2 linked regions of the Neodiprion lecontei genome follow. The protein of the gene in region 1 binds, or shares a complex with, the protein of each later gene. Links are inferred from orthologs where the notes say so. Each region holds a gene or a part of one and is shown on either strand. Other genes may lie near its edges.

Evidence for each region.
Region 2: eukaryotic translation initiation factor 3 subunit A (region 1) and eukaryotic translation initiation factor 3 subunit E share a complex: the UniProt entries of both Drosophila melanogaster proteins name them as parts of the eukaryotic translation initiation factor 3 (eIF-3) complex. The link is inferred for Neodiprion lecontei from reciprocal best matches to the Drosophila melanogaster genes eIF3a and eIF3e.

Annotation. Positions count from the first base shown.
Region 1 is NC_060262.1:4,540,075-4,550,500, reverse strand, and holds the start of eukaryotic translation initiation factor 3 subunit A, read right to left. Parts: upstream 5,514-10,426; 5' UTR 5,366-5,513; coding exon 5,317-5,365; intron 2,610-5,316; coding exon 1-2,609. Other genes in the region: putative DENN domain-containing protein 10 B, read left to right, coding at 5,703-5,742, 6,130-6,329, 6,494-6,928, 7,019-7,136, 7,351-7,622; mycosubtilin synthase subunit C, read right to left, coding at 8,410-8,547, 8,663-9,110, 9,205-9,562, 9,647-9,836, 10,040-10,236. UniProt on the Drosophila melanogaster protein: RNA-binding component of the eukaryotic translation initiation factor 3 (eIF-3) complex, which is involved in protein synthesis of a specialized repertoire of mRNAs and, together with other initiation factors, stimulates binding of mRNA and methionyl-tRNAi to the 40S ribosome.
Region 2 is NC_060266.1:21,378,097-21,389,147, forward strand, and holds eukaryotic translation initiation factor 3 subunit E, read right to left. Parts: upstream 6,883-11,051; 5' UTR 6,766-6,882; coding exon 6,676-6,765; intron 6,575-6,675; coding exon 6,458-6,574; intron 6,328-6,457; coding exon 6,166-6,327; intron 5,906-6,165; coding exon 5,783-5,905; intron 5,677-5,782; coding exon 5,444-5,676; intron 5,270-5,443; coding exon 5,152-5,269; intron 5,087-5,151; coding exon 4,875-5,086; intron 4,786-4,874; coding exon 4,527-4,785; 3' UTR 4,522-4,526; intron 4,432-4,521; 3' UTR 3,738-4,431; downstream 1-3,737. Other genes in the region: probable RNA helicase armi, read left to right, coding at 1-544, 622-1,495, 1,601-2,808, 2,869-3,111, 3,196-3,537. UniProt on the Drosophila melanogaster protein: Component of the eukaryotic translation initiation factor 3 (eIF-3) complex, which is involved in protein synthesis of a specialized repertoire of mRNAs and, together with other initiation factors, stimulates binding of mRNA and methionyl-tRNAi to the 40S ribosome.

The sequences.
Region 1 (10,426 bases):
AGCCGACTTGGCCCTGTCCTCTTCCTGTTTCCTCTCGATTTCTGCCTCTCGTGCCCTTCGTATTTCGGCCTGCCTCTCAAGCTTGGCCATCCGTTCCTGCTCCTTGGCTTCCTCCTCTTCTCGCAATATTCTCTCCTCCTCCTCGCGCTGGAGTCTCAGTTCCTCAAGCTGTTTTCTCTCCTCCTCTTCCCTGGCTCGCTGTTCTTCGAGTCGTTTGCGCTCCGCAGCCTCGGCTCTCTCTCTCTCCCACTTGATTCTGCGCTCCTCCTTGCGTTCAATTTTCCTCTCAAGGAGTCGCCTGGCTCTTTCCTCGCGTATCATCACCTCGTAGTTGTTCAACTTCTCAAGATAAATGTTCCTACGCTCGGCTAGAATCCTTTCCAAGAACGTGTCGTGGTCCTCCTTCATCCTGGCCATGCGCTCACGCGTCTTTACCGCCTGCTGTCGCTCCTCGATCGCCGCCGCGATTCGCTCAGCCTCCTGCTGTTCCCATTGCTGTTTAGCGAGTTCGTTCTTCTCCTCGACAGCCTTCTCCAAAAGTGGAATTTCCTCGAGTCGTTTGGCTCGTTCCAAATAGTCGACCTTCTTCTCCTGGGATTTGAGCTTCTGCTGCATTTCCCTACGCTCCTTTTGAAGTTCCTCCGCTTCGCGAACCGCGATCTGTTCCGCGTCCAGCTTCTCGTCACCGTCCAACTTGGAGAGCACTCTCTGCCCGTGCTTTGTCTGCGATATCTGCTGCATCCTTTCCTTGAGGTGACGCTCTTTGATCTGCTGCATTTCGCTCTGGTATCGTTTCTTCTCTCTCTCCTCCCTCTCAAGCTCCAGTCGTTTCTGCTCAACCTGCTTCTGCTGCCGCTGGAGTTCCTCTTGCCTCCTCATCTCCTCCTCCTCCCGGACATTGTTGATGTGTTCTATGTACTCCTTTCTCTCCTCGATGATCTTGTGTCGGCCAAGAATCCTCTGATGTTCCTTCACCTTCGTCTCGTGATAATGAGCCACCAGCTGAGTTCTTAGCTTCTCCCTCTCAACCTTCTTCTTATTCGGATTAATTACCGCCACCGCACGGTGCAAAACCGTTGCCATATTTACCAGCTGGCACCGAATCTGCTCCGAAGGCATGGCTTGAAGAACTGGCCCATCGGGATGATCCTCCCTCTGAGCTTCGGAGAGATCGACCCCGAAATGTATGCATTTCTTACCGTGGTCGATCCTTATCTGCATATCGTTGTACCTGACGCAGTCTACGAGGAGTCTCTCGAGGTGAAAATCGGTCGTGAACTTGGCGAGCTCGATCAGCCGTGCAAACTGAACTGTCTGGTAGACCTGCGATATCTGACGAACAAGACGAACCAACGTGACGTCCTGTAGTGCAGGTACGTACTGAACCAACGGGCTGTTTTCATCGGCTTGTAGGCTCTGAATGATGGTCTCAACACGGGTGCACAATTCCAACGGATGGAATTCCACCTCGAGCCACGAGTAGAGGTCCTGGAGGTGCGGTGAGGCCAGATTGACAACATTCAGCCTGACGATGTCCTTCAGTAGCGAAACCCGGGTCGGTGGCTGAGTGAGACCCAACAGAACCGCCAGTCTCTGAGCCTTTTCCAGCGGACTTTTGTCCGTTTCAATGAAACGGTCGAATTCTGGATGCGCCGAAGGTAGAGGAATGGACAACGTGGCGAGGAGAACTCGGTTCGCCATGCGTTGCTGCTCTTCCAGCGACATATTCTTTTTCATCTCCCTCGAGAGTTGAAGGAGTTTGAAAAGGGCGGCGGCATGGAAAAGGTAATTACCAGCCTTCCAGAAGACCATAGCCAACTTCTGGTAGTAATTGGCCATGGTTTTGGGTACCGGAGGTTTCTTAGATAGATTCATCAGCCCGTGGATGTCCTCGATGGCTTTGTATGCCTCCTGCCACAGCTCCATCTGTATGGCGGAATCGAGCTGGTTCAGACGGGTCTCCAAGTTCAACTGCTGAGTCTCAGCTTTGTTTATCGAGACGTTTGAAACCAGTGGCGGGAGCTTGCAGATTTCTTCCAGATGCTTGCGCAGCTTTTCACAGAGCTTTCGGAACTCCGTCTTCCTGTTATACTCTAGGCAGAACTGAAATGCCATCCTTGCGATGTCGTGGTAGAGTGTCTCGACATGAGCGTTTGTCCTCAGTAATTCCAGACACTGGCAGTACGATTCCCAGAGAAATTTTACCCACGGTGTCAGGATTGTTCTGTCGCTGCGATCCTGCGCATCTTCACCGCTAACCGCAGACAGCAATATACTTTCCGGGGTCGCAAGGTTGTCCAAATCATCAATGTCGATGACCGCCTGCTGACTCTGCTTTCGCGCGGCCTCCGTCTTCTCCTCGGCCATCCGCAAATACCCGCGAATCACATTTTCCAAACTCCCGACGTTGACGGACTGGAACATGTTCCGGTACTGGAATAAACCCTCCTTTGCTATGTGAGATTTCTTCAACTCCACACAGAGGTCCAGGTACTTGAACATTATCGGCTCCAGGACCGACTCCGACCAATTGTACGTCCATTTCTTGTTCCGGAACACTTCCTGAAGGGTGTCTAGTGCCCGCGCCGGTTTTCCAACCTCGATGAACTCTGTGTTTAAGGAAAAAATATTTGCGAATTTTAGTGTCGTTATCTCGGCACGCCAACATTTGTGCGTATTCTAAAATAGGCAATTGCTTTTTGGCAGAAGCGTAGAGAAACATTTTTTCATCTGTCACTCTGATTCTTTTTTGAATAGTATTTTTCTTAAGATCACGAAGAAAACAAGTGTTCTGAAATCATTCTACATGCAATACAAAAAACCTTAATATAAATGAATTCATACAACTGCTACTGACCTGCCTAGACAAATATATAACGAATCTCAAGAAAGCCATGGACTTTAATTGATAAAGATACCATTGTAATAACGAAGATTAGATATCGCTTGGATCACAAAGCTAGCAGATACTCTACCGATATGTAACTTTGTCAATAACATAGTGAAAAGAGGTAAAAACCTGTACTTAAGAAAGAAACTTGGAGATGTTGTTGGCAGCAGCCTCAGAAAGAAATGGGAACTTACTAAAAATAATTGCTGGACTGACTAATTTGATTATACCGGAACTGCTAAAGTGAAGGAAGAAATCGCTAATAAAGTTAATGAATTTTTAGCAAAAGTGGGAAGTTCACTGGCAGAGGACAAGGATTTTCGGATTCTTAAACTCAAAAAAATTTTTCCCTGCTTCGCAATATGGTTTTCGTAAAGAAAATTCTACCGATGGGGCATCGATGGATGTAACCAACTATGTATGTATGTTAATAACCCTTAATAACTCTGACAAATGTTTGGGAATATTCGTTGATCTATCCAAAGCCATCGACTCTTTGAATCACAATATACCCTTCAACAATGAACAAGATGCTGAACTAGAAGACATAATTTATGACATATTAAAATCCTATTTCACTAATAGGAAACAGAGTAAAAGTAGACATCACAAACGATATTAAGGTAATTAATTATGGACCATCTGTTGTTTTTTAATTTCATTTTACCATGTCTGGTTAGGATTGTTGGTTGTGCCGATGATATAGTATTGTTGTATAAAGGAGATAATCGGGAAAATTGCCCTTTAACTGTCAAAGAAAACTTAAATCAAATATTAATGTGATGCGATGAAACTAAGATGATATACTTTGATTAGTACGTCGATAATGTGTGTTCAGATAAAAATTTGACACTACGCTTTGACGAAATTAATCCGAACACAAAGATCGAAATAGTTAATAGTTTGAAATATCTGGGACCGACTTTTACACTGGAATTTTAGATGGGATACATTTACATGACTGAAAAAAAAATATCCGCGAGTCGTTTACAAGACTTTGTTTCTATCGATTTGGAGTAATAGAATCTCAACCCAGAAAGGAACTTACAAGAAATGTATAAAACCACCAGAGTTTATAAACAAAATAACCATCAAAACTATTTTAAAGAAACAACGGGATAAAGACATATAAAGTCCTAGATGGCTTCAATATTAGACAGACTTATTTAGTAATTTCCACGAGGTACGTAATTGCCAAATGACTAAATAAATTTTATTTTCGTCTTGTTATACTCTGAGTGTGCGATTGTGAAGTTGTCAATTCGATTCAATTAATACAACTGTACAATTTTGTCTTATTTACAGTTTCACAAAAATATATCTTATGTCGTTCGATATACTTATCAAGGACTAAAAACAAGAGCCAATGTGCAAATCACACATAAAAATTAATTTTTATTCAGCTATAATCCTACTGTAAAGACACTCTCGCCCAAGTATCTTGGTACTTTTGAGATGCGTCTAGTCTTATATATTTTTCTTCGTTCGTTTGTTCCAGCCATAACGTAATGGACTTATGCAATAGTATACCAATATTTGATTAATCGTAGTATAATGTATATTTGTATACTTGTATTTTTGCCTGCAATAAGACTCATTATAATAACAATAATAAATCTTTATACTATGCAGCAGCCAAAGTTCGATGTCGTGGTATTGACAATGAAGTGAAAACGTGATCTTAGTGAAGTTAGTAACATTATAGTGAAAATTCATGCTGGGGAAAAACAGTTATTTCGTGATTTTGGAATTGTTTGAAATTCAGTAAACCGTAATAAAACAAAACACTCTCATATTTCGAAATCTTAGTTCCTTGAAAGTCATAGTAAAATTAAAAAAACAGTAATTTTTTCCCCAATGTTTCGTTACGATAAGGTTGTTAAATTCAATGTCGTAAAACGTGGCTCATGCATTGTAGCCGAAAAATCGATGACCGGTCTGTACGCAATTGGCCGTCGAATTGGAGCGGGTGAAACGCAGTTTGGACTAGGTTAACATGTTTTTTTCACGCCCCGGTGACGCCGTATGGATCGTGGCCATGCAGCATTTCGGGGCGGAATTGAGAACAGAAAAAGAGGGTTTAAAAATATGTGGTACTCGGATAATCTCTGGCGATCCGAAAGCATGCCTAAAGCAAATGATACGGCCAGTGACGTAACGGCGGACAACACGAAGAGCGGAAAACAGGGAAAATAGAGGAATTGAATTGGAGATCAAAGAGGGCGGTTTTAGGTACTGACAGGTGACATTGCCGCGATTTGGACCCGGTGGAATTTCATGGGATGAAAAACACGCGAGGATCGCTGATTCACCGAAGGAAAGATACCGAATACGAAGAGCCGTGAGGGTGAAAACCTTGGTTGATGAGAACCGGGGCCCTCGACCCTGCCATATTGAAAAACGTCAGCGAAAGAAAAGCGACTCACCGTTGGCTCTTTTCAGAGCATTTTCGGGTCGCTGCCCGTATCTTGCCATCTTGTTTGTTGCCGAGTATCACTGGTTTCACATCAGACACGTTGTGAAAATTTTCAGTACTCGGAAGACCGGGATCGCCTTGAGTTTTTCCCTCCGCGAATCGTCCAACTACGGACACGATACCGCGTGTTCTGGTGAAAGAACAAGCTCAATATCACGACCGTTTATATGTAAAAATGGTGAATCGGTTGTAAACGCGTTTTCCAGGCTGAAATTCCTGATTTTAAATTTGAAAATTTAACAAAAATATATTTCCAGTAATAAAACTTGTCGTACTATAATATTGTCTGACTGTGAAAAAACCTCAACAACTCACGTAGTACCCACGTGGAACAAGATGGCGCCAGCAATGGAGCTGCTTTCCTGCGGCATAATCGGTAATTTCGATCGATTATTTACGAAAAAAACTTCCAATTGCATCGTTTGCATCGTTGCCGAACGATTCGTTAACGCATTCACCCTATATGCATCGTATATTTCGCCCCATGAGCTCTTAGCTCAGTATTTTGACTTTGGCTCAATGGTTAGTTGGTCACGGGATTTTCCGTAACGTGAAGTCCACCGCTTTTTGCCTCACGTATATTACCTACCGCATCGGTAAGAGAGATGGAACCCAACAGCGGCTAACTTCACTCTACTGCCATTAGCGAGTTTGTGCGTCGAAGCGGCGTGGTAATTTCGAATAACGTTTCGATTTCGGCGCCGAATTGCGAATGGAAATATTGATTGACAGACCAAAGTAAAAACGGTGTCAATAATTTCAGAAAAGGATTGCAACGGTGATGTTCTGTGGACTTGGAACTACCCCGACGTTACAGAATCGCAAAAAGTTTTGGTGCTCAGAAAATCTTCCCTACAATCTGAGCACAATGATATTTTACCCTTCGTCTATGCCAGACACTCTCACAACTCCTGGTTCTATATTCAATGCACCGAAGTTTCCGACTCCGATAATTTACCCAGGGCAAGATATTTTGTTAATTACTATTGTCATTTCAATATTTTTGATTTTGATTAAAAGTTTTGATTTACTTGTCTCTTAGAGTGATCAGAAAAAGAATTTCCCTATTTTTTCGCAGCATTTCTAGGGAAACTGTGAAAGATAATTTCTTCGTTCATTTCCTACAGGTAAAACAGTTTGCGCTTGTTTTATTCGCGACAGATTTCAATCCACCAAAATACGAGGCACTGTGCCGTGTCTTGAGCAAAATGTACTGTAGGACTGGAAGTCCAACAGAGTTGCTGCAGCTCTATTTATCCGTATTCACCAAAGGCTCTTGCGCAACTCAAGATAACGGAACGTTTGTTTGCAATGAATACAGCGATCGAAAAGTTGCCAGTAACAGCACCAACCTCAGAGGCTTGATAAAGACTTTTGAGCTGAAGACAATTCTTATATACACAGCGATATTGCTGAAGAAACGGATAATAGTCTACCACCACAGCCTTGAACAGCTTCTTAGATGGATACGGACCTTCCCTGCTTTTATGAAACACAGAAATGTTACCGAATATTTATTTCCATGGGTCGACCTGGTTAAAGATGAGATACTGGAGCTTAAGGTTTATTTCTCCTCATGGAACTTTGAAATTTAGCCCGTTTGTTGTCTCATACATTGGCCATTATTAAATATCTTTGCTTGGATATTTCAGGGTCATTCTTCGTATATCGCAGGGTGCAGGGATAGTCTAGTCGCTTCACGGGCTGAGCTTTACGATCTACTCGTGAATTTACCTGCAAGAGAAATCACTATTGCGTCACACGCAAAAGGTATTACAAAATTGCTATAATTTGCATAACCATTTTCACAGTGTATTGGTACAAGCCACTCTTCGAGACAGAAGATTTACCGCTCGTCAACTTTTTTCAGATTATTCATCCAATATCTTTACTCCCTTTTCGTGAAAAAATTTTACGAAACGCTTGACCGCAAGTATATCATAAACACGCAATCCTTAACATCCATGTGATTTTTTTTTTCCAGAAAGTCTAACGATGACAAAGACGCACAAGGAAATAGCCTTGTTCATGGTCCAGCTCGGAGATAATCCATCTTACTCAGAGGTGCAAATAACATCAGAGATCTCAGATAAAACACAAGATCTTTTGAATCAGTTAAAATCGTTGGCAAGTTTAACAACGCCTGAAGGTAGAAAAATGGTATCCATCGAAACGTTTAAAGAGAAAAACTTAGCCCCTGCAGTCGAGAACTTTCTCATCAATTTAGCAATCGCCGAAAACCTAATCATGCTGTGATCTCTTACACACACAAAATATGTTCTTATTTTGTTCCGAGTCCTCTTACAAGTAGAGGTTTCCATTGGAATAAGGTGAGCGAATGTTACATCACTTGTTCAGTTGTTAATTTATGTAGTTAATCGTGGATGCGTGGCTCTTTGATTTTCATTTTCTTGAAAATCTCAGGGATAAGGTAAAAAAAAACAGGATCTTGCGTAAATTATTATGAATTACGATTTATTTAGGCAGGTGCTAGTGATAAGTGCATTTACAATATTTGACAGATGAATAGTGTAAATCATTGTGATTTTTAATGCTAAATACCTTAATCAATATATATTCAAATAAAACTACTTCCTAAATCATAAATAATTATGAATGATTATGGGGTTCGCACAGATTTCTCCGTTATAGCAGTTGAATGTTACTTTTAAAACTTGCAACAAATACGTATTCATCGGCTAAAGACATTTAAAGAGTATCAGATGTAACTTAAATTTATTCCACACTGAGGCATGCTTAACGTTCGTGAGAAGAACTTCAGGTACCTTATAATAATGATTGGAGGAAACAGGAGCAAAGCAGTTGTTTTCTTCATTTTACAGACAAATAAATATGTAAAGACATTAAAATTTCTAGTTCGTGTGCGCCCTTCGATTTATTTCATGCATGATATCTATTTGGTAATATCCTCGTCGGGTTGAATACTTATTTACAATTCTGTACAGATCTTCACTATCACTAACCAGTCAAACTAATCACATGAGCAACTACAAATAATTTCCAATCTGTTGACCAGAAAGTGCTAAACGCTTTTCCAACAGCAGATTGCTCTTTGACTGTCTGGCGCGTTTCCAAACGGCATCGAACCATCGGGCGCAATGTATTTGTTGACTTGGTAGTCATGTAAGACTTCATAGTTGTAGATATCAGTACCCAGTTGCTGTAAAGACGACTTGATAAATTAGTTTTATATTTGGCAAGTAAAAAAAAATGTTATTTTCGACATTCTTATAACGTTTTTCCCAAAATTTCTAGATACAGAGAAAGCCAATTACCTGTGTGAGCGGGCTGGTGTTTGTTGTAAATATGCCAGCGAAGCCCTTCTGCCTGGCGACTCTGAGCACATGTTCCTCCATCTCCCTCATAAGAGCGATATTCTCAGCTGAAGTGAGACTGCTGTTGGTTCCCATCATAAAACAGTGCAAAATTTGTCCCTTCCCCTTGGGCAGCTGTCCCTCTCGGATTGGCCCCTCAAGGTACTCCAAAAACTCAAATATTACTGTCAGTTTTGAATTTATCGTAACCTCAGGCTCGTCTCTCGCGTCGAAATTCAACGCGACGCTTAGCGCCTCGCCTGACGTGGATTTCACTATGAAACTTAATCCTTTCTCTACCAGAGGATCCCAAAGCTTGTGCATCAGATCTGAGTAATCTTCTCTGGTAATGTCAGGCATCAACCACTTCTCCAGGTCAGCTTTCGAGTAAAAACTGTCCGTGATCATCCTGTAGTTGAGACGTTAGCAAAGATAAGGTTTATTCCAAAAGAATCCTATCGTTAAGCAGCTTTTCGATCAATACTATCGAAGTGTATACTCACTCGACAACGTCTTCTTTGTGGGAATTATTGAGCTCCTCAAAAACGTACTGCTCTCCGTTGGCAGAGCCATCGGTGTCGGAATCTGAGTCGACATTCATCCTCTGCAGTATATCCCCCATGTTCTTTGCGCTTATGAAGTCAGTTATTCCAATCTGGTAGCCCTGGTCGCGAAGTCTGGTAACGGTGTAGATCGAATTCAGAGAGTTTCCTCCCAGCTCGTAAAAGTTAGCGTCGATGGTCACTGCTGCTCGAGCGCTACGTCCGACCACTGATGCTACCGTGGGAAAGAGGACTTGAGCTGCAGGGAGAAGAGACAGCGGGACATTTTCGTAGTTGCAATCGACGGCGATTTCCTCTTCTGCAAAATAAAATGAAGAAGAAGTTTGGAAAAAAGTAAAGTAGGGATTTAGCTTCTTGTATTTTATCATTGTTTCTCACTCACTGTTGCTCATCAATTCGTATTGCATCAGCAGTGTCTGTCTGTCAGTCTTTCCATTCACCAATAGAGGAATGGAATCAATCACTATCACTTGCGGTATCATGTAAGGCGGTAGAATGGTGTGCAGATAAGATTCGATCTGCAGTCCGGAAATATGTATGTTGTCTTTGGCCGTCACAAACGAAATGAGTGCCTGTAACAAGACAGATAATTAGTTGTGGTAAATGGAAGTCAAAACTATCAAGGTATTCACACTATTCGCCACATTTGAAAAAATTGCAGAGTTGATACCATCTTTATTCAACGCATCACAATTTAAGTCGAGGTAAAATGACTGCGATTTGTAATCTCTCAATATTCAAACATTATTCCACATGTTCTTTGCCTCTCATTTACCTGCGAAAGTTCACCGGGTTTAAAACAGAGAACGACCGCTTTGTCGACAGCAGGGGATGCCACGACAGCTCTTTCCACTTCTGCGAGGTCAACCCTGTGTCCTCGGATTTTAATTTGGGCGTCAGTCCTCCCCTCGTAAATCATTATGCCTTTTACGATCCTGGCGTAGTCACCAGTTCGATAAATCCGCGAGTATTCTGTAGATAAAGTAATAACAATTATGAAGAATAATCTGTTGCTCTTGAAAATTACGCCTCGACGTTCTTAGTTTGTCCATTGACCAAAATCAAGTGACAAAAAATCAGTGAATCGAATTCGTCACACAATCCTCTACTTGCAATGTTTTCTTCGATCCCATTAATTAACACTAATGACTCTCTTCTTTCG
Region 2 (11,051 bases), on another chromosome or scaffold:
TTACCTGGCGTTCCAGAGGACAAAGGGTGAGGAGCTAAAGATAAAAAAAATTTTATCAATCATTGATGACGAATGGGAAAACGAAGTGGCAACTTGCACCGAAGATGCGGTAAAATCCCAAATGCTGAATCGCGTTATTGTTGGAAAGGTGATGCGCAGGGAGCAGAGGATGGTTTTTATTGAGCCTGGCCAAATTTCCTTCAGCCTTGACGAAATCACCTCTGAATTTTTGCCCATCGTCGGGGATTGGGTCAAACTTCAAACCATAGTAGCAGTTGACGACAACGTTGTAGATTTCAGCGGGGAAGTTCTTCAGGTTGACAAAATTTTTCCTCTAAGGTCAAAACTCGCCACTGGTGTTGTATCTGCCTATGACGTCAAGTCTGGTTCTGGTACCATACAGCATAACATCGTTTTTAACAAAGCCAACTGCGAGCCTGGATATATTCCATGTGTCGGCGATAAAGTTGTCGCAGATAGCATCGAAAGTGATCAAGGAATGCAGACGTGGAGGTCATTGTCGGTCGTTCCGCTAATGCATCAGGTAAAATGAATTCCTGAGTGTAATAGATTACTGAAGTCCTCTGAAAAATTGTACAAGTTCATTTATGTCCTTTCTAGGTGTCGCAAAGACAATTGTTCAATAATCAGGCTCAAACTGAAACTGTAAATGAAAAACAAGAAACTTTTGGAGAAGAAAAATATGGGATAGTTGTCACAAATAATTTGATGTTCGATTTGCAATTGCTTGAAATGAGAGATATTTCGATAGAGATAAAAAATAATGGACTTCACCCACAGACGTTACTCAAAGGATGTTTTCTGTCAAAAAAATCCATGTCGCAATTGACTTTGTTGCGACCAAAAATAGATACTGCGTCAGTATTGCAGCCTTCGGAATCAATAACATATGTATTCAGATGCCATGCAAAATTTGTCGGGTATTCGGAAGAAATGTTTCTGTTCATCTTCAAACATCTGAAAGTCCATCGCATGTTTCGCTTCAATGTTAGTTTGAAAAACTCCGTAAATCATAACGTGCAAAGCGGTCAAAATCCAAGGGGAAACAAAATTTACAAGCAAAACGAGTTCGATCAATCGACCTGTGTTCGTGGCGTTAGAACCTGTCAAGCACCAAAGTTCATTACTGTCAGGCCTGGAATATTCAAAATACCTCAACACTTATGGGATGTCGTATTGCGCCTAGAAAATGATAAAATACCTTTTCGGAGCGGCATTGTGGCGATAGAAGAAACCGTGCCTTGCTTATTCGAAGATTTGACGTTTCAAAATTACAGAGATCGATTTCATGCTCTGTTGTACTTGGAAAGCATAGCTGATTCTATAGCTTTACAACGATACGACATAAGCAGTACAGTCATGAGATTTTGCGGAGAATTTCTCGCCCTTGAAGTGCCAGGACTAGCGGAAAAACGACCATCGCTCTTAGTCGGAGACAAAGCCATAGTTTCTTTCAATTGGGACTCCAGCAAAGGTGAATTATGAGCAGTTCTCACAACTTTTAACTTCGTCGACTCCTGACAGAGGAAGTTTCTACTCTTGTCATTGAAACTGATGCTTTTATCCTTATTTTTCATAGGTGAAATAAAGTACGAGGGATGCATTCACGAGGTAAAGAACTCGGAGATTTTACTCAAGTTCAATCCAGCTTTCCATGAAAAATATAACGGCGAACGATGCGAAGTGACATTCAAGTGCTCCCAAACACCGTCGAGTCGCTGTCACACGGCCGTTAACTTGGCGATAAATCATCTGGGAAAAGAATTTTTATTTCCTACAAAAATTGTACCCAAACCACCGCAACTGGAACTTTTGGAAATGAGTGACGATGGAGAATCCAGAAACAGTACGTTTGCACGACAAAATGATGTTACTCCAGGCCTGCAACCGAATGCGCAGGCATGTTCGAAGACTGGAGACACTGATTCGTGCGTTTTACAAATAAAAAAACGCAAATTAGTATGGTTCAACAGGGCGTTGAATTACTACCAGAAAGAGGCTGTGCGTAACGTTTTGCAGAGTCCAGCTCACCCGTTGCCTTACGTCATATTTGGGCCACCAGGAACAGGGAAAACGATAACTCTTTGCGAAACGATATTGCAGATATTTAGGACCATACCCGAAAGCAGACTGTTGGTTGCGACGCCTTCGAATAGTTCAGCCAATCTAATATCGGAAAGACTTTTAGACAGCGGAGTTTTGAAACCGGGCGATTTGGTCAGATTGATAGGGTTTCACTGCACCACAGATGGGTCAATTCCGCAGAAACTAATCCCGTATTGCGCTGTAGGTGACTTGGCTCGAGAGGGAACTCGAAATACTCCTGACCACAATGCCAACGGCATAAGACCGAGCTGCAGTGCAAGTGTTTTGGGACGGCACAGAATCACAGTCGGTACTTGCATCTCATTGGGCATACTGCATAACATGGGCTTTCCTCGAGGTCACTTCACCCACGTTTTTGTTGACGAAGCTGGACAAGCTACAGAGCCGGAAATATTAGTGCCATTAAATTTCATTCATGCCGATACCGGGCATGTAATTTTGGCTGGAGACCCAATGCAGCTTGGACCTGTCGTCCAAAGTAAATACGCATCGCATTTTGGACTTGGGTTGTCTTTTCTGTCTCGGTTGCTTCAGCGCTTCCCTTACCAACGAGACTTGGAAGGATTTGAGAGGGGCTACGATCCACGACTAGTTACTAAACTCATCATGAACTATCGCAGCTTGCCGGAAATTCTCGCACTTCCGAATTCGTTATTCTATGATTCTGAGCTCGAGGCGCAGGTAATAATCTTTAGCTCTCTTGGTTGAATGATAATTAATGATCGTTTGTCAAATCTCTAGATTACAAGGCAAGGAAAAGAAGGTGACCTGCTCACTTCAGTCGCTAACGATTTACCTGAACGCGACGATTTTCCACCTGCGATAGTTTTCCATGGCGTTCTCGGCGAGAATTATCAGGATCAAGATAGTCCAAGCTGGTATAATCCGGAAGAAGCTGCTCAGGCTTACTTTTATATACTAAAACTTTACAGCCACGGACTTGGCCCTGACGATATTGGGATTATAGCACCTTACACTAAACAAGTAAGATTCTGAAACGTTTCAATTTCGGATTAATTATACAGAGTGCAAAAATTTGGTTCTATTTCATTTTTATATTTTCTCCAGGCTCGTCATATTCGGGATTTACTTGCAGAGATGAATACAACATTGCCAAAAGTTGGCAGTGTGGAAGAGTTTCAAGGACAAGAACGAAATGTTATTATTCTATCTGCAGTCAGATCGATAAGCGATCTAGTCCAAGAAGATGTTAAACGATGTCTTGGTTTTATCGCTTCTCCACACCGTTTGAATGTCGCTATTACCAGGGCTCGGGCACTATTAATTATTCTGGGAAATCCACATTTATTATCACAAGATCCTTACTGGAGAACAGTGATTACGTATTGTATTGACAAGAATTCTTACACTGGCTGTGATTTCTTTTCATCAGCGATTATCAATGAGTAGTGCTGATGAATATTTTTTTTTAACTGTAATCATTGCATCTATGATTTATTGTACACAGGATAAAGAATATGTTCCTAAAAGTTATTTAGATACGTTAGTTACAATAGTGCTATTTAAATATATAATTTTTAATTTTTTAAAGTGAACGATAAATTTTCAAATTGTTTTTTTTTTATCGAACTTTACTTCCAAACAACTGGAACTAGAGATTAAATATTCAGAGATAAGTCAAAAGTTTTAAGACTGTTCCGCTTTGCGAAAATTGGAGACTTTTTCATCCGACCAGCTCAACGGGAATGTTTTAATTATTTACTGGTTTTTTTTTTTTTTTTAATCTTTCTCATGCATCAGGCGTATAAGGAGATAACGTAACTTTCAAAGTATTCAAACTAGTATTCATGAGAATAACAAATATGAAGATATAAATTTCATACTACAGATAATAAAAATATTAACTATATTTAATAAATCCAAAAGTCTATTCGTTACAACGTTTTTTCTTGTCTACTTTCTGCGAGATACCATTTTTTATACAAGAATATTTTGTATTTTTGGCATATGAAATAATAAATTTTGACAAATTATATTTCTTTCTAAGTTTATATGAAATATTTTTTATCATTTTGAAAATAATTTTTCGATTATTCCTATAAACCGTACGAATACCAAGGGGCTAATCGTCAAATTGAATTCTTTTCATTAGAATCAGTTTATTGATTTCACGTATGTACTGCTTACAACGAAATTGACTTGACATGGTGATCTTAAATGACTGTAGAAAAACGGTACACATCCGGTGGAAGTTTGTTACAAAATTCTTCGTTTTTCGTCTGAACATCGTTATCCTGATTATAAAATGTTTAAAATGGTGGAAATCTTTATACATTGTAGAACCTGAAATGAATAGAGCATGGTCAAATAACATTTTCTATAACATATCGTATTTTTGCACGTTTAAACTCATCTGAAAGAACCAATACATACCTTTGCTAATTCCAGACTATGCTAACTGAATCCTGATTTTTCGCCTTCAATTTCCGCTCAATAAGATTCTCCAGAGCTTCACTTCGCACGCTCAGAGTCTCGATTTTTTCAACCAGCTGTTGGTACGGAGAAGCTGGCTGTCCACCCATAACAACATGTCCCAGCTTACTGTCAATCTTTGCGTCCAATCTTGCATTGCGAATTAGATTGACTATCCAACATTCCGCAACATCAGCTTTCATATTAAGTTTTTCAGCCAACATACTAAAAGAGCATAAAAATTAGCTGGCATCCAATCATCTCCACGAAAAATTACAAAATTAGAATGTCCTACAAAGTAGGCCAATACTTACTCAATACTGATGCATTGGTGGATTCTGCAGAATGTTTCGAATATCATTAATCTAGCGTTTTCGACAAACTCATTCAGCAGAGCAATTAAGAAGAAGTCATTGAAGACGACTGTCTGACATTCTTGCAGTTTCTGACGAGCTCCATCAAAATCAAAGTTCACATACAGGTGCTCCAAAAATTCAGTGATTGGATCCCGATACGTGTAGGATTCCTAAACGTGAAAATTATACCGGAATTATCAAACACTGCAGATCAAGATTTCGTAACTGAATTTACCTGTTGGATAACTTTCACCAGATCTTTCAGGGTAGACCGCCTCGATCGATTTATGATTACCGCTGTTGCCAAATAGCGTAGAATATGCGGACACATTGTCTGTATTGCGTTCAAGTAGCTGTAATCCAAAAGGCTCTGTTTTGTCACCCACTCAACACCAGAATTGACGAATGAGTAGGAAAATTATACAAGATGAAACAAAATTGCGTCAAAAATCTTCTTCATCAACGAATCGATAAACAATATAATGTAAATTCTATTCTTAGACAAAATCGGGAGTGTTTGTACTCACTGTGGTCTGTACAAGAACATTTCAATGATAAGGTCCCTGCCTTTAACATGATTGAAGAAAACGAACAGACTCCAGTGAATGAGCCAAGTGCGTTGTTGAAGAACCTGAAGAGTGTTGCCAATAGCGTTACTGTCTATGTACTCTCTGAGTTTATTAACGTCTTCCAGCGCGGTTTCCCAATTTTGAACTAAGATTTCTGACGCCAATTTTCCCCACAGGACATCCAAGTAGTTCTGTTGAACAGAAAATAGTCACGTTTAAAAAAGTAAGTCACATGACACCATGAATTATTATGTAACCTTAGCGCAAATAAGTCTATAAAATTTGAAGAATATTTACTCTATCGGTTGGTGGCATCACAAGCATGTAGAAGTACAAGTACGACGTTGAAACCGAGTAGGTTCCGCACTCATAACGATACTTTGCCAACTTGACCAAGCTCTCCATCATCTCCACTCTGAACTGTAATTTTTATCGCATCATTAAAGTGTTAGAACATAAGACAACAATAAATTCTAAAAAATCCAAAACCCTAAATTCAGGATAACTCCAGCAATATTTTTCTTCCTTGTAAGCCGTCAACAATTCATTATTCCCATTCGATAAAAAAAAAAAAATTTCATGCTTTCGATACTTCAAGAAGTGTATGCTGTTATTGCATACACGTGAAAAATTGATAAACATATCTCAATACTTCAGACAATATATAAATATAGAATTACATCTGATTCCTTAAGGAGAAAGTGGTTGAGGGACTTCGAGTCCCTCATTTTTTCCATAGTTTCCATAGTATCATCATCGCTCATCAATTTCAAGATGACTGAGGCATTATCTTCAAGATCACCAAGCTCTTGCAATACCCGATTACGGCGTTCGTTAAGTTCCTGTAAAAATATTAAATCTTAAAAATTTTCACCAAACCATGGGAGATGGAAAGCATTTTATCCTTATCGACGGTTCGATTGTTAATTATCATTAACGAAACCTGAACCATTGGTCGACATAATCGCCTACCTCCGGCACTTCGAAATTCGGATAAAGTTGTTTCCTGATATCGATGGCGTAATCGATCATGTTGGTTTTGCTCAGGATGTCCAATTTCGCCTGTAGAAGCTCATTCTCGTCATAAATCTGTAATGGCGATTCAACGTCGCGTTATTCATCGATAACCTAAAAACCGCCATGCTCAACAACCTGATGACAGTCAATCAAGCTGGCAGAGAATCACTCACCTCCTTTGCAGATAGAAATTCCAACAGCGGGAATACCAGATGCCGATCAAGGTATTGCCCTATTCGGGCCGTCAGATCAAACTTCGCCATATTATTTTTGATCAACAAAATAATAGTAGCGAATATTAAACGGCACCTTTACACCACAGAGAAGAAACCGGGAATATTGAGGATCACGCACCTCTTGTGCATGCCCTAAAAAAGGAAAGAGGCACAAACTAACGCGTTTCAATATCGGAAACACGACTCCCATTTTCGGCCTCGACTAATTTCAGCTTATGCCGCCAAATAGCGTTTGTAAAATTAAACTTTTTGAAAATAAAATATTCTCTGCACCAATTGGCCAATTTTAACGGATTGAAAAAGGATAAGGTTCACAATTTTTTTTTCTCATTTTACATCTGTTTTAGGTGTATTCCATTCGACCGAAAGTGGTCAGACAATTTAAACTTACACCTGACCTCGCATGTAGGGAAATCCTGTAAACATTTGATCATATTGCGCGTCGCTTACGTGGTATTTTCACCCGGCCATTGAGAGCATATATAAAATAGAGCGTAAACAACGGCGTAAGCGTCTCATGAGCAGATTTAAATTGGTTCTCTGAAGGACAGAAGATAATAATTCTCCCCCCCCCCCCCCCTCTCTGTCACTCTGCCAAGCTGCTACCCCCACTTCACGGGAAAAGAAACAGAGCGCAAAGGGGGGTATCATATGTCCTGCAGAGAACTGATTCAAATCCGTTTCTTCTGAACGCCGTGCGGCATCAGTTGCTTCCGAACAACCAGAGAGAAGTTATGTGCTCTCAGTATCAGATCGAAATTCAGACCGCGTTGTTCAGGTTGTGTCACGTTGTTCGATCAGTGTACTCGCACCATACTCATTTTTAATATTACACGAGGAGCAGTGCATAGCCTGAAGAAAAACCGAGTTATTGAAATAAATACATTCTACGAACGTTGAAGGTGAATTTCGTGTCCCAATTTTTCATTGTTTGGTGTAACTTCAGCGAGTGATACCGATTCTTCTCTTTCTGTGTCGGTCGGTGTTGTTTTTATTTTCGGTTCACTTGTTTCTGATAAATGCGTAGTTGCACTGTTGACATGTTTTCGCTATTCAATTGATCAGGTAGCTAGCTACAGCACAGAAAGTCAGAGTGAATGTAGAATCAAGTGTTATTACGGTGCAGATTCTTAGATTATAGCTTTATAAAGTTTTCAGTGTAAAATGTGCGGTGTTCCACTGTTCAGCCTGAGATGCTGCCAGAACTACAACATGTAAAGTGTGGAGCAGCCCAGAGGAGGTAACAATACTTCTTTTATTCATTGTTTGATAATTCAGGGTGGTATGTATGTACATTCGAAGCCGAAATTTTGTCCTTGCGTAACATACAGTCGATAAATAATTAAGCTGAAGCTACCACCCAATGTTAGTAGTCAAATGTGTTAAATTTTTTGGAGATAGAAAAATGCGGTACTGTTTTATCCTAATAATTATATAAAAGTATCGGGGATTCGAGGTATTTCACAAAATTTTGATTTTCGGATTTCACTACCTTATGCGAATAAACACGAGAACGTTTGGCTGTTAATTCTGGCTGACGGCTTCAGTCTTGTCAATAAATATGGTTGTAGACACCAGTAATAATTGATTTGACAACTGAAAAGCCAACTTGCTAAATTAATTCGAGTTTTCTTTTTTGTTTATTCCAGATTTAAGCAGAGACATCCGAGTAACTTCTCCATTGCTCGGCAACGTTGGTGAGTTTGCATGTGTCAGGTTACGGGTATTTCCCTGGGATTCCTCTGTCACGTGGCGTGGCGGTAACAACTGTTACACAAATCTACGATTTTTTAGCTGCATGGATAGGCTCATTCACGATCGCAACGTGCTTGACTTTCAGTCGAATAATTTCTTTATTCGCAATTTAATTTACCGTAGCTTAATTGAAGTTAGAAATTTTGCACGTTGCTAAAAGTGGAATGAGCATCGCGACAGGTAACCATCGCTTACTCGGCACTCGCGAGATCGAATTGTGTTTCGCAACTGATGTAATAATCTACGTTTGAATTTACCGATGATGTCGTTTAAGCGGTGGCATCACCTGAGATTTGAATATATTCCAGGTATTGGTTAATCGTACTCATATGATTGTTTGATTGATAAAATTCCAAAGTCTGGCATAATGTAACTTAATCAAACTGCCTGTTATGTCTCGAATCATTTGTAACTTTTTTACGGCCAGCAAGTATTGATCAATTGAAGGTTTAGCTCGTTTAGAAAAATACGAATTAACGTACAGGATGTTTCTAATCCATCTTACAAAAGGTTGATGTACCGATAGTCTGCCAAAATTTACTAAGATAATACATACAATTTTACGGTTGGCGGGATACAACCGCGATACTTCATTCTGACGATGAGTAAGCAGACTACGATACAAAAACATTTTGCTCCGAACAGGTAACCAACGAAAATGTAAGTCAGCGACCACGGCGCAAATGATGAAGAATGATGTGTGTTGGAAAAAATGGAGAATCGTTTAGATCGAATATAGGTAACCGGGTAGGTAGGTGGACGTTTTGGGATCCGTCGCGGGGCTTATGCATGTGTGTGTGAGTCTCTCTTTTCCGTTGGGTGGTTCCGTTGGGAAACGGGTAAGGGTAGGAAGGTCGCGATGTACCGTGATGTTACTAACTTTTGTAATTCACAGCGTCAAACGATCACAGAGATTTTTTTGCTCAAAGACTCCGTATTCGAGTCTCTGGGCCATTTTTAAGCATGTGAATTTTAACAAGATTAAATTTACATTTCCTTGTCACTCTGCAACCATTTTTCAATTGTTATTCAATTCAATTATTTGGTCATTACCGATCATTATTCCATTCAATTGATTTCTGTGATCGTCTGAATGGGCAAAACGCATCTCTGGACCATCTATCGCGTTCCGTGGTACGCTAGATGGGGAGAGATGCTGAGCTCGAAGTCTTCGCGTCGAAGAGGACCACCGACCGTCACGCCACACAATAATGCATGCCCTCCAACCTCTCTCCGAATTTCGATTCGATTTTTAATCTGAGAACAACAATCTGCATAGCAATGTATCTAATGCAAAAAGATACAGATGTGGATTGGGTTTCCACAGAATTTTTGGGACAAGTCCCAGATATTACAAATTTTTGACAGTTTAACCTGTCGCGCCTTATTGCGCGTAGGTTAATCCCGAGAATTAGACGCAGCCTTTTGCGCGTAAACTAAGAACGGAAATCCAACGCGCCTTTTTGCGCGTCGAGCTTGCAAACAGTATATAAAAAAGTTACACACTCCCGATGTGCTGATCTTTCAGCTCTTTGGTCAATTTTTTGATGAATAATAAACTTTTCAAGTTCCACAGCGCCTTTTGCGCGTGGACTTGATACCTTTCAGTTATAAAATAAAGCGCAGCATTTGAAAGCCGACGCTCAACGCGCAGAAAAAAAAAATCTCGGTAGTGTAGACTTATACAGTGGAGATTCTTGGCGTAAGTATTTATGAAATATATCTGAAGTGTACAGAAATACTCGTTTAACTGATCGTATTATTTTCTGTTTCAGGGTAACAAAACTAATTTTTTAACAAATGCACTGAGAACTATAGAATGTTCAGTCAAAAAAGATATTCACTTTAATAAATCAAAGCAGAAAGAGATGTCAATTCAAACAATTTAGAATGTCTGTTCAATACAATTAATAATCGAAGCAACGAATATTAAAGCGAATATCATGTTGGGCTCGACCCATTTTTTGGCAATATATGGACTTATGTGATTGTGCTAACCATACCTTTGTCTGTTTCAGCTAATCAAACCTTTTGTCTGTTTCAGCTAATGAAACCTTTTATCTATTTCAGATAATCGAACCTTCTGTCTATTTCAGCTAATCCATATTTTTGTCTGTTTCAGCTAATCAAACCTGTTACCTGTTTCAGATAACTGAATCTTCTGTCTCTTTCAGCTAATCAATCTTTTTGTCTGTTTCAGCTTATCTAACCTTTTGTCTGTTTCAGCTAATCAAATATTCTGCCTCTTTCAGCTAATCAATCTTTTTGTCTGTTTCAGCTTATCTAACCTTTTGTCTGTTTCAGCTAATCAAATATTCTGCCTCTTTCAGCTAATCAATCTTTTTGTCTGTTTCAGCTTATCTAACCTTTTGTCTGTTTCAGCTAATCAAATATACTGCCTCTTTCAGCTAATCAATCTTTTTGTCTATTTCAGCTTATCTAACCTTTTGTATGTTTCAGCTAATCAAATATTCTGCCTCTTTTAGCTAATCAAACCTTTTATCTGTTTCAGCTAATCGAATCTTCTGTCTGTTTCAGCCCGTCAATCTTTTTGTCTG